Arabidopsis thaliana: one gene and its partners. The protein of the gene in region 3 interacts with the protein of the main gene of each other region in a pairwise test. Each region holds a gene or a part of one and is shown on either strand. Other genes may lie near its edges.

The links. The genes of interacting proteins can lie anywhere in the genome.
Region 1: the proteins of p24beta2 (region 3) and AT1G50950 interact in a protein complementation assay, tested with the Arabidopsis thaliana proteins (one large-scale study listed by BioGRID).
Region 2: the proteins of p24beta2 (region 3) and AT1G28610 interact in a protein complementation assay, tested with the Arabidopsis thaliana proteins (one large-scale study listed by BioGRID).

Annotation. Positions count from the first base shown.
Region 1 is NC_003070.9:18,878,360-18,884,755, reverse strand, and holds AT1G50950 (protein disulfide-isomerase 5-like protein (DUF1692)), read right to left. Parts: upstream 4,585-6,396; 5' UTR 4,292-4,584; coding exon 4,251-4,291; intron 3,981-4,250; coding exon 3,890-3,980; intron 3,746-3,889; coding exon 3,651-3,745; intron 3,502-3,650; coding exon 3,444-3,501; intron 3,197-3,443; coding exon 3,009-3,196; intron 2,906-3,008; coding exon 2,848-2,905; intron 2,507-2,847; coding exon 2,466-2,506; intron 2,358-2,465; coding exon 2,283-2,357; intron 2,195-2,282; coding exon 2,123-2,194; intron 1,990-2,122; coding exon 1,923-1,989; intron 1,784-1,922; coding exon 1,640-1,783; intron 1,530-1,639; coding exon 1,308-1,529; intron 1,234-1,307; coding exon 1,072-1,233; intron 958-1,071; coding exon 880-957; intron 791-879; coding exon 713-790; 3' UTR 501-712; downstream 1-500. Other genes in the region: ETFALPHA (electron transfer flavoprotein alpha), read left to right, coding at 4,817-4,918, 5,220-5,402, 5,481-5,692, 5,760-5,923, 6,006-6,164, 6,273-6,325.
Region 2 is NC_003070.9:10,052,943-10,057,942, forward strand, and holds AT1G28610 (GDSL-like Lipase/Acylhydrolase superfamily protein), read right to left. Parts: upstream 2,940-5,000; 5' UTR 2,724-2,939; coding exon 2,471-2,723; intron 2,140-2,470; coding exon 1,924-2,139; intron 1,819-1,923; coding exon 1,673-1,818; coding exon of another isoform or gene 1,569-1,672; coding exon 1,292-1,568; intron 1,195-1,291; coding exon 935-1,194; 3' UTR 501-934; downstream 1-500. Other genes in the region: AT1G28600 (GDSL-like Lipase/Acylhydrolase superfamily protein), read right to left, coding at 1-131.
Region 3 is NC_003074.8:2,453,226-2,457,564, reverse strand, and holds p24beta2 (emp24/gp25L/p24 family/GOLD family protein), read right to left. Parts: upstream 2,327-4,339; 5' UTR 2,097-2,326; intron 1,939-2,096; coding exon 1,741-1,938; intron 1,503-1,740; coding exon 1,316-1,502; intron 1,240-1,315; coding exon 1,132-1,239; intron 1,047-1,131; coding exon 913-1,046; 3' UTR 647-912; downstream 1-646. Other genes in the region: AT3G07690 (6-phosphogluconate dehydrogenase family protein), read right to left, coding at 1-333; AT3G07670 (Rubisco methyltransferase family protein), read right to left, coding at 2,948-3,034, 3,135-3,257, 3,349-3,480, 3,567-3,669, 3,773-3,945, 4,128-4,208, 4,310-4,339. UniProt on the Arabidopsis thaliana protein: Involved in vesicular protein trafficking. Mainly functions in the early secretory pathway but also in post-Golgi membranes.

The DNA of each region.
Region 1 (6,396 bases), on a different chromosome or scaffold from region 3:
AGAGACCTATGCAGAACAATGAGTTCGGTTTTCTCGTGTGTATGGTGTTAACGATCTGTGCCAGAGAGTTTCTGATAGATGGACCCAAAGGGTTGGACCATTCGATCAGACCATCAGCTATACACTGACTCGGTGTAAGTTCCTAATAAACCACTCTACTTGATTCCATACATAACTCTTACAGAGTCATGGTCATGGATAATGCTGTGTTCGTCTACCATCCAAGCCAAGATTAGGTGCTTCAAGAGACGCTTATGATAGCTGCACCACAGATGCATCCAACACTAAATTTACAGATGGACACACATCCCTCATCCTCCCGGAAACACAGTTTCGCCTTGTTTCCTCTGTTTTGTCTTCTGCTCTCATTGTTACTCTGTTTCTTTATCTTTTCAGCTCAGTTGGTAAATTGGCGTATGTGTGTGTTGTTGTTGTTTATTTCTAATTTAAATTATATACACAATTCATATAACTACAAGAACTATGATTTATAAAATAAAGAGTAACCAAAACATTGCGGTTAAATTACAGGCAAAGAATCAAGAAGAAGTCAAGACGCTGCAAAGAAGATTGTTACTCTATTCTCTCTTTCAAACGGCTATTCGAAAATAAACAAGGTCTACAAGTTATATAAGAAATTGAGGTGTCTCTTTATGGTTTTGTAGATCTTAAAAAATTGGAAAAACTAACATCTAACCTCACTTATTCCTGATCAAATGTTTTTCCCGAGTTCGATCTTTTTCACCATTCTAACTGTGTTTTGAAATATAGAATCTAGTATTCCCGCGACCTGAAATCCAACAAGCAAAAATCTTACTTTCTCATGAAGGAATTCAACAGAGAATGAAACAAAGGTAGGCTGTGAGACAAATACTATACCGTAAAAACACCTCCTATTATGGCGCAAACATTTGTGATGAAGTGCGAGAATGACTTTGGGTTCTCGCTTATTAGGACCTGCAAAATACAGAGCAAGGATCAAATGTAAAGTATGAAAAAGGAGAATAGGCAACGAAATTAGTAGCGAGATATATAGTATCTTCTCATCTGTGTAAATTTGCATAGAGATACCTGCATTGGAGAGAGCTCAAAGTGAAACTTTGCTTCAGGATAATGGTAACTACGAGCTACGCTGCTATGAGCCGTATATTCATATTCCTCAATCAATGAGTGTTCTTGGCCGGATCTTCTTGAAATGACCTCTGTTTTGATTATTTGCAAGTAGTGTTCGATCTGTATTGCCAACATATATCATAAGAGAAACCTCGAGTAGGAAAGTACTTCACATGGAAATTTGTGGAACTTACTGTAACATTAGCATCCAATTGTCGTTCATTGATGAACGATTTTCCATTCAGCCTATCATAGCTTTGGCCAAGATAAGGCAGTAATCGTTTCATATCAGTCCACAACCTTTCTGAAACCATTGTACCAAATGTTAGATGGGTAACAATATGAGACATGTTCATTTGAGAAGCATCAAATGAATGAGCTCCTGAATGAGCTGAGATTACAAGTTCGCCGGGAACCTGAGATCAAACAATATAAAAGACAAAATGGCACCATAAGAAAAGAGGAAAGATAAGCAAGAAGAAAAATCATCGGACATCACATAAAATTGGACGTTCGACATTTTTACCTTCTTTGCGCGAACATATCCTTCAATTCGACAACCTCCACTAACTGGTGCCTTTTTAAAAGTTGAAGCCGCATTATCAGATTTACCATCCAAAGCCAACTTATGATCCTCCTTTTTAATAGGTTTGAGCAGTTCTTCCACCATCTGGAATAGTCATGTTATTGTATATGAAAGTTTTTCAAGGAAACACAGTTTCTTATATGAATACACAAAAAGCAGGTATAAGGATGTGATTATTGAATCATATAATCCTAATGGTCGAATCTAACTAAGACCAGTCTACCTTGACTAAGCTATCTGTGTCCCGATCTCCATAGTAAGATTCATGTTCGTGGTTCCCATGGTCCTCCCTGGATAAGATTAGATAACAATTGATCACGAAAAAGGGAATGGAGTTTTACAAAATGCTTAAGTAGATGACAAGAAGAATCATAACTGAAGCTAATCGTAAACTTAAGGAACTAATTTAGCTCATTTTCTCACCTAAGACCACTGCCTCTGCGGAAAATCCGAATAGATGGATAGCCTTGTATATGATTGCTGAAGATTGGTAAACTAAGCTTAAGTCAAACTGAAAAAATCAATCTGAATAATACCATAAAACAACAAAAAATATGGAGGAAAATATCAAGACTGGAAATACCTCTTACATAGGGTAGGTTCTTCTGTGCAATCAACACTTCCTAAAAGAACACGATCATCAGTTCCAGGATTATATCTGCAACATCAGATGTTCCAAAAACAAAGCATCAGCAAAGCGTAACTGGATAATTATTGTTACATCATCAGAAATAATTTTATAACAGAGAGAAAAAAACACACACACCTTTCTCTCGTTATTTGAGATGCTTTCACCCAAGATGGTTTCTGAAAATTTTAGGAGCCAAAACAAAAAAAAAAAGGTAAGAGATAAAGCATGAACATATTTTATTGAGCTAACTTAGGTAATTATCAGACCAACAAAAACTCTCACAACAGTTTGATTCATCTACCAAGAAGATATTATCTGCTAGACTTCATAGCTTGGTTAATTATAATTACAGTCGTATAGGAAACAAAGGCAAATTCTTTCTCATTCGATGAAGCCAACTAAGTTGTGATGAGAACATCTAGAATCTAGTTTCATCAAAAAAATCTAGTAGTTGCATACTAAATGAAAAGTATCTTGAAAATTGACAAGTTTACTATAAGACGCAAAACAGCATTACCAGGCGATTACTCCAGTAGCACCATGGCGCATAAAAATTAACAACCAAAATTTGAAAACTGCATCAAGAAAGTCCAATTTCATTCATTCATCTTTAAGCCCCTTGGACAGGTACTCATATATAGTATAGTATACACAAAATAGATTAAGTTGCCAACTTACTGATGTGTAAACTTCTCAAAAGCAGCACCAGTTAAGGGTATATCCGCATAAGTACTATTGTCACCATGATCTTCGTCTCCATGGTTGATGAGATGTAAATCAGAGGTGGAGTGAAATTCCTCAGCAGTGGCTCTTAAATGCGGATCAATTGGAACTTTTCTAATCGTTTTCGATATATTTAACCTGTGCTGAAGAAGTTTATAACAAAACTTAAACATAGGAAATGACATAATCATTGTCATTGCACAACAAAAGTTAAACATCCTAGCATGAGAACTTATAACATACATTTGCTGTAACAATAAATAATGTCAAAACTTTTGCTTTTTTTTCTTTCCTTTTGTGTTTATAAAACAGCTAAGAGACAATGTATGCACGCAGTGCAAAATGGGATCTTAGAAACAGAAATACTTAGAATTGGAAACCGAAACTTACAGTTCCAAACACGTCACTCACGTCAACTGATGCGAATTCACATGAGAGGGCAGGAAAGCTACAAGAAATAAGTCAAAACCAAACATCAATTTATGAAGACACCGCCACTATTGTAGAGAGATTGAAACACAAACAGACAAAAGAAAAGAACAATGGCATGTTGGCATTGTTTATTATAACCAATACTAACACATGAATTCCATTTACCTGATGTTAAAATCAATGTTTAAGAAGTCCCCATCAGAGCTTTTGTCAACTATTACAGATGTGCTAGTGTTAATAGCCAAATAACTACTCAGCTCCTGAAAGTTAAATAATCAACCAAAATCATTGGATATACGGTATTTTTCACTTACACAGAGGAAGAAGCAAAAGATACAAGAATCAGAAAATATGAGATTGTGAAGAAGAAGAAGAAGAAAACAGGGCAGAGATTAGTTTACTACCATTCCAAACAAAAACAACATAGCAAGGGCAGCTACAATGGATAATCCAGCACCAGAGAGAGATGCTTCAGTCAAATCTCTTGGGATTTTCCTGAAGAAACAAATGGAACTCAAATTACTCTCAGCTCTAACTCCAGACAACACAAACACACAGTTCACAGAGTAATTATCCGTAATCCGATGCACAGTTCATCATCAAGATGAAAAACGAGAAGACAGAACCAATTTCGAATTATCAAAAAGGCAAAATCAAACACATACAGTCGAAAATGTATAGAAAGGTACAAACTTTTGCAAGTGCGTCAAAAACCATTATCGAGAGAATTATCATTGGAATTGTTACACGAAAGAGGGTTCCCACCTGTAGAAATCAACGGACTTGATCTTGGAGGTTGAAACCATGGCTGTAACAAAGAAGAAAGGATTCTAACAAAGAAAAAAACAGATCTTGACAATGAGCTCTCTTTCTCTATCTCTGTATCTAGGATTTTGTTCTTAAAGCCGTCGTGATCCCACTTTGCTTAACTATGGGAACTCTACACGAAAAAGCTCAAAAAGACAGATTTTTTTTTGGCAGGAAGAATTCTAATCCTTTAAAGGTTAGATTTTTATTTTGTTCTCTTTCAGGAATCATCATCGTACCATAAAAATTAGAAAATTAGAATATGGAAGTTGTGAAATCTGTCGAATCTAATCTACTACAAATGGAAATGAAGTAATCAGCTTCGATCTTTGACCATCCTTAAAGTTCAAACAATTATTAATTCCTTTAAAAATGATACAATTAGCTTTATCATAAACGACGTAGTTCCTATAGCAATAAGAAATTGTTATAAACGACGACGTTTGCCATAGTTCGCTTATTTCTTTCTTTTTGCGAGAATTCTGAAATCTGAAGGAGAGAGAAACCAATCAGAAGAGAAAACGATGACGAGAACTGTTCTACTGAGAGCTCTGACGAAGAATAAGTTCGTCGCCTCTAATGCTCCTCGATCTATATCCATTTCCATCACCAGTCTCTCTAGATGCGTATGATCTTTTATCTCCTACCCATTTTCCTTCAGTTCGATCTTTTGTTTTTGCTGGAATCGATCATTCATTTTCGTCGTGACCAAATTCGATTTTTTCATATTAAAAATGAATCGGAAGTGGTAAAGGAGCATTCTTTGTGGTGGTGATTTCAATTTTATCATTCTACTTGGTTTGAAAATTTTCAATTTGTGAAGCTTCTATATATATATATATATTGAGATAATCATTTTGTTGTTGTTATGCTGAGAAATTCACAATAACACTTTTGTGTTGTGTACATTTTTGTTGTTGTATATAGATTAGCACTCTGATTCTAGCAGAACATGAGAGTGGTACAATCAAACCTCAGACAGTGAGTACAGTAGTTGCAGCTAATTCATTAGGTGAGAGCTCTTCAATTTCTTTGTTATTGGCTGGTTCTGGTTCTTCTCTTCAAGAAGCTGCTTCTCAAGCTGCCTCTTGTCATCCTTCTGTTTCCGAGGTAAGCTACAACATTCTCCCTTCTCTTCATTTGCTTTCTTTTGGTTTTGTGGTCTCAGTGTTGGTACTTTTTCTGTAGGTACTTGTTGCTGATTCTGATAAATTTGAGTACTCTTTAGCTGAGCCTTGGGCTAAATTGGTTGACTTTGTTCGGCAACAAGGAGATTACTCACACATTCTTGCTTCCTCTAGTTCATTTGGCAAGAATATATTACCCCGTGTCGCTGCTCTTTTAGATGTTTCTCCTATTACTGATGTTGTCAAAATCTTAGGATCTGACCAGTTTATCAGGTACATTCCAACTCTCTCTCGTTCTCGTTGAACTGTGAACTGAAACCAAGATTTTTATCTGTGTCAGGCCTATTTATGCGGGAAACGCTTTGTGTACAGTTCGTTATACTGGTGCGGGTCCTTGTATGTTGACTATTAGATCTACATCTTTTCCTGTCACCCCGATTACAGCAAACTCAGAGTCAAAGAAAGCTACTGTCTCTCAGATTGATCTCTCAAATTTTGAAGACGGTCCGTTTAGTGTTTCTCTTATGTATTCGTGTTTTCGTCGGTGGTTCTTTTTTGTGAATGGTTTTGCTATTCTTCACTGCAGACTCTGTCAGCAAATCTAGATATGTGGGACGTTCAACTCAGGATACAGAACGGCCTGATCTTGGAAGTGCACGTGTTGTGATCACTGGTGGAAGGGCGTTGAAGAGTGTTGAGAATTTTAAAATGATCGAAAAGCTTGCAGAAAAACTTGGTGGAGCAGGTTAGTTATACATGCTTATCCTAATCACCAGTGAGTGTGGAGAAATTGTTTTATCTCTCAAGTGAATGTGCTTCGAAATGTACGTGTATAACTGTTTCATTTATACAGTGGGCGCTACTCGTGCTGCTGTTGATGCTGGATATGTTCCTAATGATCTTCAGGTAAGATTTGGTGGATCTTCGCTTGATTATTCCTTCCATTTTACGGCTTTAAAACTCAAATAAGAGTTTGT
Region 2 (5,000 bases), on a different chromosome or scaffold from region 3:
TTTCCCGTGTCCGCAATCGAATCGCCGAAACTGATGATCGACTTGAAATTCGGGCACGGCGTTTCCGAGCTCACGATAGTGACAAAAAGAGTAGAAAAAAGAAAGATGACTAGAGAGTCTAGAGACGCCATGCGAGAGGTCAGGAGTGAGTTTCTATCTTATTTTTTTTTATTTTACAAATGATTCGTTTTGGGAAAGTTATATAGAGGCCAATTGTGGAGGGATGGACCGATGACTCATGACTAAACGAGGATTTCTAGTTGTAATAAATAAAGCAATTAACTTTCTAATAACAACAAGACTTTGTATTGGTAGGCGTGACCACCAATCTATAAAACGCGTACTTGGACTTCTAACCACCATCTACAAAATATGTACTTGCGGCTTATTTGCAAGCTATTTACGAGTTATTTTGTAGGTTATTTGTTCTTTCCCATATTTTAATTTGATGTTGAATTTCACTTCATTTATTTGTCAATAACACGTATTACGCTGATTTGAAACCGGATAATAACATAACTACGATAATAACAAAAACCACTAAATTACAAATCTTAGTCTTATAATTAAAATTATTATAAAAATCGTATTAATATATTGATTTGTAAAGAGTAGTTTGGTTTTGTATTGAAGACTAGAAGTCAAATTGATCCGTTCAACTCCTTGCCCATTTTATCATCTCCTATTCTGTTATTTCTACCACTCATGAAGTGGTCCATTTTTGGAACAGTGCATCTCCGACCGGTCTAATCTAAGATCTCTCTGAAGATATCACATGAGTTAGCTACTAACACTTAACCACTCTCTCTCTCTCTCTCAAACAACAATACACAATGATATAAAATATCCATGGAAAGCACTTAAGAACGTATTTGTTTTCTTATTATCTCTCAGAGCTCCAACAAGCTTGTTTCAGCTGTTTGTCAAAAGAACACTACGTGTCTAATGACTCCTTGCTCTTAATTTTTGAGCCGAGGCATAACCAATGGAACGAAGGAATCGTATACGGACCCTTGAGTAATCCATCAGCTATCCATTTGTATGCAGCTTCAGTCATATGAACGCCGTCCCAATTCACATACTTTGAAGGATCACTACAATATTTTACTCCTACACTCCCACATTTTTTACTTAAGGTGAAGTTGTACGGTCCTCCTAAACCGCAACAAGCAGGTAAGGGTCTGTCCATGAACCCTAGTTGTACAATGAATTGAATGATTAACTCAATTATCAAATTGAATCAATGAACTTGGGTTTTTAGGTAATTAAACTAAGGATCAAGAAAGCTAACCAAATTTGGATGGTTCTTGGTAAAGGCGCAACAGAGCATTAAAGTAGTCACCATATATGATGTTGACATGAGGGTAAAGTTTACTGAGTCTGTTGAGTTCTGCCTGAAGCTTCTCGTTGTAGTATTCTGAAAAATCGTTCAGCCATGTCAAACATCCTGTTAGAGGATCATACTCTTCCTTGTTTGATGTTTGGTATAATGTTAAATACGTTGCTGAGCATCCGAGCGGGAAGTTTCCAGGAACTAGGAATGTTCTTCCTCCCATATCGACCAACTCCTAGATTCAACATTCAGTACCAAAACACAAAAACAAAACAAAAAACATAACAGTTTTTTGAAAAAATTACTCGTTCTAGGGACTCGCTGATCAAGAATGTTTACCACAATTGCAGAAGAAATTTTAGTGATCACCAACGGAACCAACTCTTTGACCTCACTGGTTTTGTTCACAAAGAATGCGAAATTAAAATCATTCCCTCCAATCTCTCCCATGATAATAAAAGCATTTCCAATCATATCTCTACAATCTAAAAGCAAAGAATTAAACCCATTACAAGTGAGGTCAATTCACTGCAATAACGTAATAATCATGACTCCACTAGCTAGAAAAGGGAAAAGTTGATCTTCAGTACCTGTAGGTGAACCACATAGATTTGGTAAGCTCTCCTTGAAGGTCTTAAGCTGAATTCCCAAACTGATGTTGCTGTGAGGATAATAAATTCCTCTCTTCTCAAGAATGGAAGTTTCTAGTGCCGTTGCTCCCGCAACAGCGAAATTAACTCCTTTCTCAAAGTTTCCATTTTTAGATCCATAAAAAGGAGGCACATGCGGTAACCCTAAGAATTCAGCTGTAAATAGAAAATTGGAGAATCACTTAAGGTCTCATACTACTGTTAACTTGCAGATCAAGAAAAACCAAATCAGAGAAAGAGTCTACATAAGAAACCCTAATCAAGAAAATCCAGATTTTTATAAATCGGAAAAGCTGTGCCCACACAAGAAAACAGAGGTTCAAACGCAACTATCAGTTTTTTTTTGTGTTTTTGGATTCTTCTCAGAGATTGAAGACGTCTAAAACACTCCAACTGAGACCAATTATAAGATCATGATTCGATACTTCATCAGATTTACATTCCTAGTCACTTACTTACATGTCAAGTTACATAGAAAGAGAAGTACCGATAAAGTCGATGATGATACGGCCGTTGCAGGAACGGCCAGTTGGGTGGTGGAAGAAGGTTTCTCCATACGGCAGAAACGCGGTCACAGGAAGATGGTTACGATCCGAGAGACCAACCAAGTTTCCTGTGTCGGTAATCGAATCACCGAAACTGATAATCGACTCGAGATTCCGGCACTGCGTTTGTGAGCTCACGATTGTGACAAAAAGGGTAGATAAAAAGAAGCTCACTAGAGAATCTAGTGACGCCATACGAGAAGTCCGCGGTGAAATTTTTATCTTTCGGCTTTTAGAATGTTATATTATTTTACAAAACATCTTGTTTCGTTTTTTCGTAAACAACAAAAGAAAGGACTGGTGAGTATATGTCTCAATGATTTTGTTGTTGCCTTATAAATAATGGTGGGCCAAGACTACAAAACTTTTTATGGACTAGAAAATTTTGTATTTGTATCGTTTTAAGATGGGTAGGTGGACTTCTAAGTTCTAACCAACCTCTAGAAAATATCTACAGATTATTTTCATGTTATTCATGAGTGATAAGTTATTTGCAGGTTATTTACGAGCTAGTTACGGATTATCTACCATGATTTATACTTGCTTGGGTTCCACTGCAAATCATAATCTAGTATGGCTATTTTAATATATCAACATTTATTTTTATCAAAAAAAATAAAAAAAATTACATTCTTAGAGAGAAAATTATTCAGAAAATTTTTATAAACAAATAAAAATTAGTTTAAAGATTTACTCCCATAAACTTGTTGTACAAGCAAGAGATTGTGTATTAATTTGAAAACAAAGTAAAGAGAAACCAACAAAAAAAAAAAAAAACAATCAATGTGATTAAACGAAGAACGTGATTTTAGTTTACTCGCAGCAACAGGTCCCAAGTGCTCAAGGGAAAGTGATCTATGTCCGTAGATCAGCTTAAAAAGGAAAATGCAGGAGCGGCCAAAGCAATAGACGCAAGTGGTCCATTAAGCAAGCTCTTAGCAATCCATCGGTAGGCGGCTTCGGTCAAATGAAAACCGTCCCACGTCACATACTCAGAAGGAACTCGACAATGTTTCACTCCTCTAGACCCACATGGCTTATCAACAGTGAAGGTCTCTCCATAAATCCTTCAAAAGAGTAAATTTGGTAATATAAATAATTGTGACAATACTGTATATATGTTAGTTAAGGGGACGGAATAAGAAAGGGCAACATATTTCGTCGGTTCAAGGTAAAAATGTAACACAATGTCGTAGTAGTCAGTGTATCTGATAGTAGCAATGGGATAGAGTTTTTGGAGTCTATTGAGTTCTGTCTGAAGCTGCTCATTGTGGTACTGAGAAAACTCATTAGGCCACTTCAAACATCCGGTTAAAGCATCGTAGTCCTACATATCTGTTGTCCTAAATCTCGTTAAATATGCAGCAGAACATCCAGTTGGAAACTTTCCTGGCACTAGAAACGTTCTGGCTCCCAAATTGAACAATTCCTGTACCATGTTGTTCATGCTTGCAAGGTTCAATTCTTAGTCTCCCAAACAAAACAAGAAAAAGGGAAGGATCATTGAACAGGATTTAAGAAAGATTTTTATTACCACAATTGTTGAGCAAATAGCATTGATAACAAGGGGGACTATTTTTTTTAATCTCCGGGATGCTTTTTCCAATCAAGAATCCGTAGTTATAGTCATTACCTCCAATCTCACCAACAATAAACAGCGAGTTTTCGAGAATCTCTCTGCAATCTTGAAAACAAGTAAAGATTGGCTTATGCTTGTCCCTTGTGTTCCAAGATGAGTTGAGATTTGTGAGGAATCACCTGAAGGAAAGCCACAGAGGTTTGGTAAAATTTTCTTGAAGATGCTTAGCTGAACAATCAAGCTTACATTAGTCATGTAATTAGCAGTAATTCCTTTCTCTTGAAGCAATTCAGGCTCCACCGCGGTTGCTCCAGCCACCGCGAAGTTGATTCCATTCTCAAAGCTTTGATTATTATGTCCAAAGTAAGGGGAAATATATGGTATCCCCAAGAATTCAGCTGTCAAATTAAGTTGACTAATTGGATCTTGATTTTTTTTTTTTTTTTTTTTTTTTTGAACACTTGTTGAATCTTGATTATTCATACTAAAAACTGAAAAATATTTCTGAAGTTTTGATTTAAACTGCGAATATGGGATGGTGTAAAAAGAAGTTCATACCAATGAAGTCGATAATGAGGCGGCCATCGGGGAAGATGATTTGGGTCGGAGAGATGAAGAAAGTTTCCGGTGTCCGAAATCGAATCACCGAAGCTGATGATCGATTTATAACGTTGGAAAGACTCTGAGCCTAAGACTTCGGTGGCTACAGTGATCAGAAAACATGTGAGCTTCCACAAATGAAACTTTGAAGGCGACATTAGATGGGAGGCCCGGCCGGTTCATAAAGCTAAATATAGTAGTTATACTTATATGCTTTTTAGGTCACAAGTTAATTATTATTAATTTTATTTTTGTGCACAAACTTATGCTTTAGGCCGATATAGTAATTTATC
Region 3 (4,339 bases):
TCTAGCTTCCACATACTTGAGATAAGCACACCTTCTTATCAACCTCCTCAACAATTCTTCCCTCGAATTAATCACTTCGAACAAATGTTCAGCTGTGGCTTTATCGATTGCTCTGCCTCCTCTTCTCCAGATTCTCACACTAACTTTGCCCCTAAACTTACCGTAATTTTCCTGCAACATTGCAATGAAAACGCTTCCCCAAGCACCAGCTCCTACACCAACGATCCTTAACGGGTCGTCATCAGCTTTACCCATTACTCTACGAATCTCATCAAGCCTTTCTTCCACCAATCTGCTCGGAACTGAATTCGTCTCCACCAAATGATCCATCATCAACAAAGCCTTATGATTTCTCTTTCAGTGACTCAATCCACTAAAAACACAAGCAAGCTATGGAACAAAATCGGACTTCTTGTCGGATTTATCAATGCTTAAAACTGGAGACGACTTTTTCAGGAAAGTTTGTGTTTTTATTTTATTTTCAGGTAACTTGTACGACGACTAAGAAAATGATAGCTGGCTTTATCTATCTACTCTGGGCCCAACTAACTTAGTCTAGTGTCCACTTTTATAACCTTCTCTATAAGAGTTCGAATCCAGTTAAGGGATTTTGAGTACTTTTGACACGTCTTATTCAAAGCTTGATCACATTGTTATTCTCTTTGTTTTAGGGAAAAAAGGTTTTAAGGAATCACTATTTTCTCTATTGAAATGAAAACCTAGCTTGTGGAAAAGTTGTCTGTTAATAAAGAGAAAAAAAAGAATTATCATCACGAGAGGATTAGTTCTTGAACATGGGAGAAAGCAAATCTTCCAATGAACTACGATCTGTCTGTAAAAAGGTTTTAAGTAAAGATTCCCTGGTACATTTTAAGGCAAAATAAGTTCAAAGTCATAATAAACTCGATACTTTTAGACACGAGACATGCCGAGTTTGCGTTCAAACAAGCGACGCAGAAGATAAACTTGGAGAAAACTTGCCCCAATCAGTGCAAACGACTCGAACAAAGCTTTGTGTACTGCTCTTTTGCTCATGTTCTCGTTCACTGCACAAGGAACAACCATATTCAAACCATCACTCAATATTGAAGTGAGAACAACAAATGTGGTTTTTAGAGGAAAAAATGTTACCGATAGCTTGACGATCGGTCTGAGCTTCTAACCAATGTTGTTCAAATTGGATGTTGTAAAGAGCCTCCTCTAACTTTGATATTTGCTCCATCAAGGGAGTGAAATGCTCTGCACAAAAACCATCTTCAGCTAAATACCTCATCACCAAACGAAACTGAAACAAAACTAAACAGATAATCCTTACCGTCCTTTGCGTGTTGATCGTAGTATGCAAAGTGACCAAGCTGTACATCGAAGTCAATGGTTTCATGATAAGGAGACTTGTTTGTGAAACAGAATCTGTAAACCCCTTTTTTTTGGACAACAAAATCATGCTTTGCGCTTATCTGCTCCCTGAAGTCATGAATTTGTTCGCCTGTTGGGCCATGTATCTATTCAAAATGCATCCAAAATATATCAACAACAACAACAACCACCAAATTAACCAGATGGTACAATATAACAGCTTTAAAGAGTAACCAAATTCTTTATCAATACATACTTCAAATTATCTACCAACATTAACAATGGAAATCCTAAGCATTGTTTAGGAATACCAATTCTATTGATTTTCGACGATTTTGCAATGTAGAATGTAGAAAAGTTCAATTAGAAGAAAAAAAGTCATACCACAAGATCTACACCATCCTCGTTAAAATGCCATTGAGAGTCAGACTTGATGACGACGAAAGAGACATGAAGCGTATCACCTTCATATTCAGCCTTGTGGGAGAAACATTCTTCACGGTCTATCACGAATCTAATCCCTAACGTAGCCTGGAAGCTCCATAAGAGCCCTAGTAATACGATCGTACCCTTCAAGCTCATCTGCCACAATAATTTCGAATTATATCAAAGCACAAAACGCAATTCAATCGTTTAGAAGAAGAATCGACTAGAGATTCCAAACCAAACCAAATTGAATTGTTCCAATTTCGATTCCTACGAGGTGATTAGGTTTGACACAGAGAGTGAGAGGGATTTACCTTCTTGAGAAGATCAAATCTGATGATTGATTGATTAGATCGATGGAAACTCGATCTGGTCGATGAGTGTTAAGAAAATTTGAAGATTGATCGGAGTAGAAGACGGTGGAGAGAATTGGATGAGAAAGAGCGAGCTCGTTCAGAATCGGACACGAAGAAGCCTGTTTTGACTCAAGGGGCAGTTTCGTTACCCGACAAGATCATCAAACTATAAACGACGTCGCTTGCTTACTCTTTGGGTTATTTGGTCAGCGGGCTTACGTGGCGTTATATCATTGGAGATAAAACATCTTTAAACCATTTAGATATTGCCACGTCATATTATGTCGAAAATGGAAACTCCATAAAATCAGTACGTTTCATTAGGAAGACTTTATAGGTTTCTCGTTTTTTACTTTGCCACAGTGGAATGTTTACTTGCTTTGCTAAAGAAACAAATGTTCTGACGTGTACCATCAGATTATCTTGTTTGCGGTAACAAGGAGTGTGAGTTTTGGTACGGTTTTCGTTATGAGTTGTAGTCAGATATATTCTTAATTTTCAAATTATCTTTGTTTGTTGGATCGATTATTTCAGTTCGATTCGGATCAAATACGAAGAACATGTTTCTACCCTTACTCTCTCATGCGTTTCCTTAATTAATCAATTTAGGTTCAGGTTTTGAGTTTATAGAAAATGATCAAATTACATATATGGCTGGACCAATATATTCCTATACGAGTGAGACAGATCCAACCATGCCTACACCAACGTTCAATTTTTTTGTAATAAAAAACTACATTTTTGGTTGAAGCACAACGAGGCCTACCTTTGATCCATCTTAAAGCTGTTGAAATGTCCTCATTCAACATTCACTTGAAGAAGTTCCTAAGTCCACTGAAGAGCCGTAGAGCCTTCAGCTCACCACTTCTGATATCTCTCAGTCTCCTCCTCAGAATCTGACCCAAACAAAACAAAAAAAAAAACACAGATTCCACAATATCATGGATCGATCCACAGACTCTTATCTATCGTATTGGCTAGAAAGTTGTTCCTTACGTATTGAGCACGGTACAGTATCCTGCGCTCACTAGTGGACAAGTCTACAGCTAGCTGTTTCAGAAACGCTTTTCGGTTCAACTGTTTTGGAGATGTTATGTCCAAATCCATTGATCCACTTTCCTACAATTAGATAATTGACAAAGCAAACTATAAGCAGATGGAGTGAAAATTTTCCCACAAAGAGAGAGAGATGAGCTGTTTTGTTACTTACCTTTAGAAATCGGCTGTACTTTGATATGCTTGTTTCGCATGAGTCCAGTATGAACTGCAATGCGTCTTCCTCGATTTCAGGATATTTTAGATCATTCTTTGTTGATGTCTTATTTGAAGCAGCTTTCGCCATCTGAAATGGATAATAATTGATAAGAGATGTATTATGAATTTGGGAAGAATTGGATGGTAAAAAGGGTCAAGATGGAGTTGCCAAACCTCTTCAAAGTTGTTTCTCATATCTGGAGGGCTCACCACAAGATAAGCATATGCCATTAGCTCCATTGGCCAACCCGTTATCCTTACGGGAAAGCATTGAGGTCTGCCAGAGAAAAGTTAACACAAACAATCAAAACAAAACTCAAGTTAATCAAGAGAGATCTACAAATTTGAGAGGGGAACATGGATGGTGGAGAATGGAATACGTCGATAATCCGTGTTTCTTTAAAGCATCCAGCTTTTCCTCGTAACACTTATCGTTTTTCCTAAGTGATAATGCTAGTTCTACTGAATCACTAGGATTGGTTCCTTCTCTGGGAACAAACCCATAAGATAACAATAGCTCTCCGTTAGATTTATTCCCATAGGATATGAAAACCTGCACAATGTCATGTTACTGAAACATATCAGAGACTTCAGACAACATTGGTTCCACTTTGGACTGACTTACTGAAGCGCTAAAAGGCAAACTGTGTAAACGGGACTTCTTTGTGTTATACACTGACTTATATTAAACTTCAATGCTCGCTCAGGTTATCTGAATGAATTTATCTTATTTACCTGCTCACCTGGTTGATATGGTCGATCTGTTGTAAAGACAACTCCTTTTGAAGATTTATCATAATCCAGGAACGTCTCAACCTTTCCAAGCAGATTTTGAAATATTGATTACCATAAGTCAATCATGCTTTCTGATTAGGAGAATCTAGGAGCTAATTGGTCATAAAGATAAGTAGAAGTACCTCACAATTATGATTAAGCATATCTGCCCA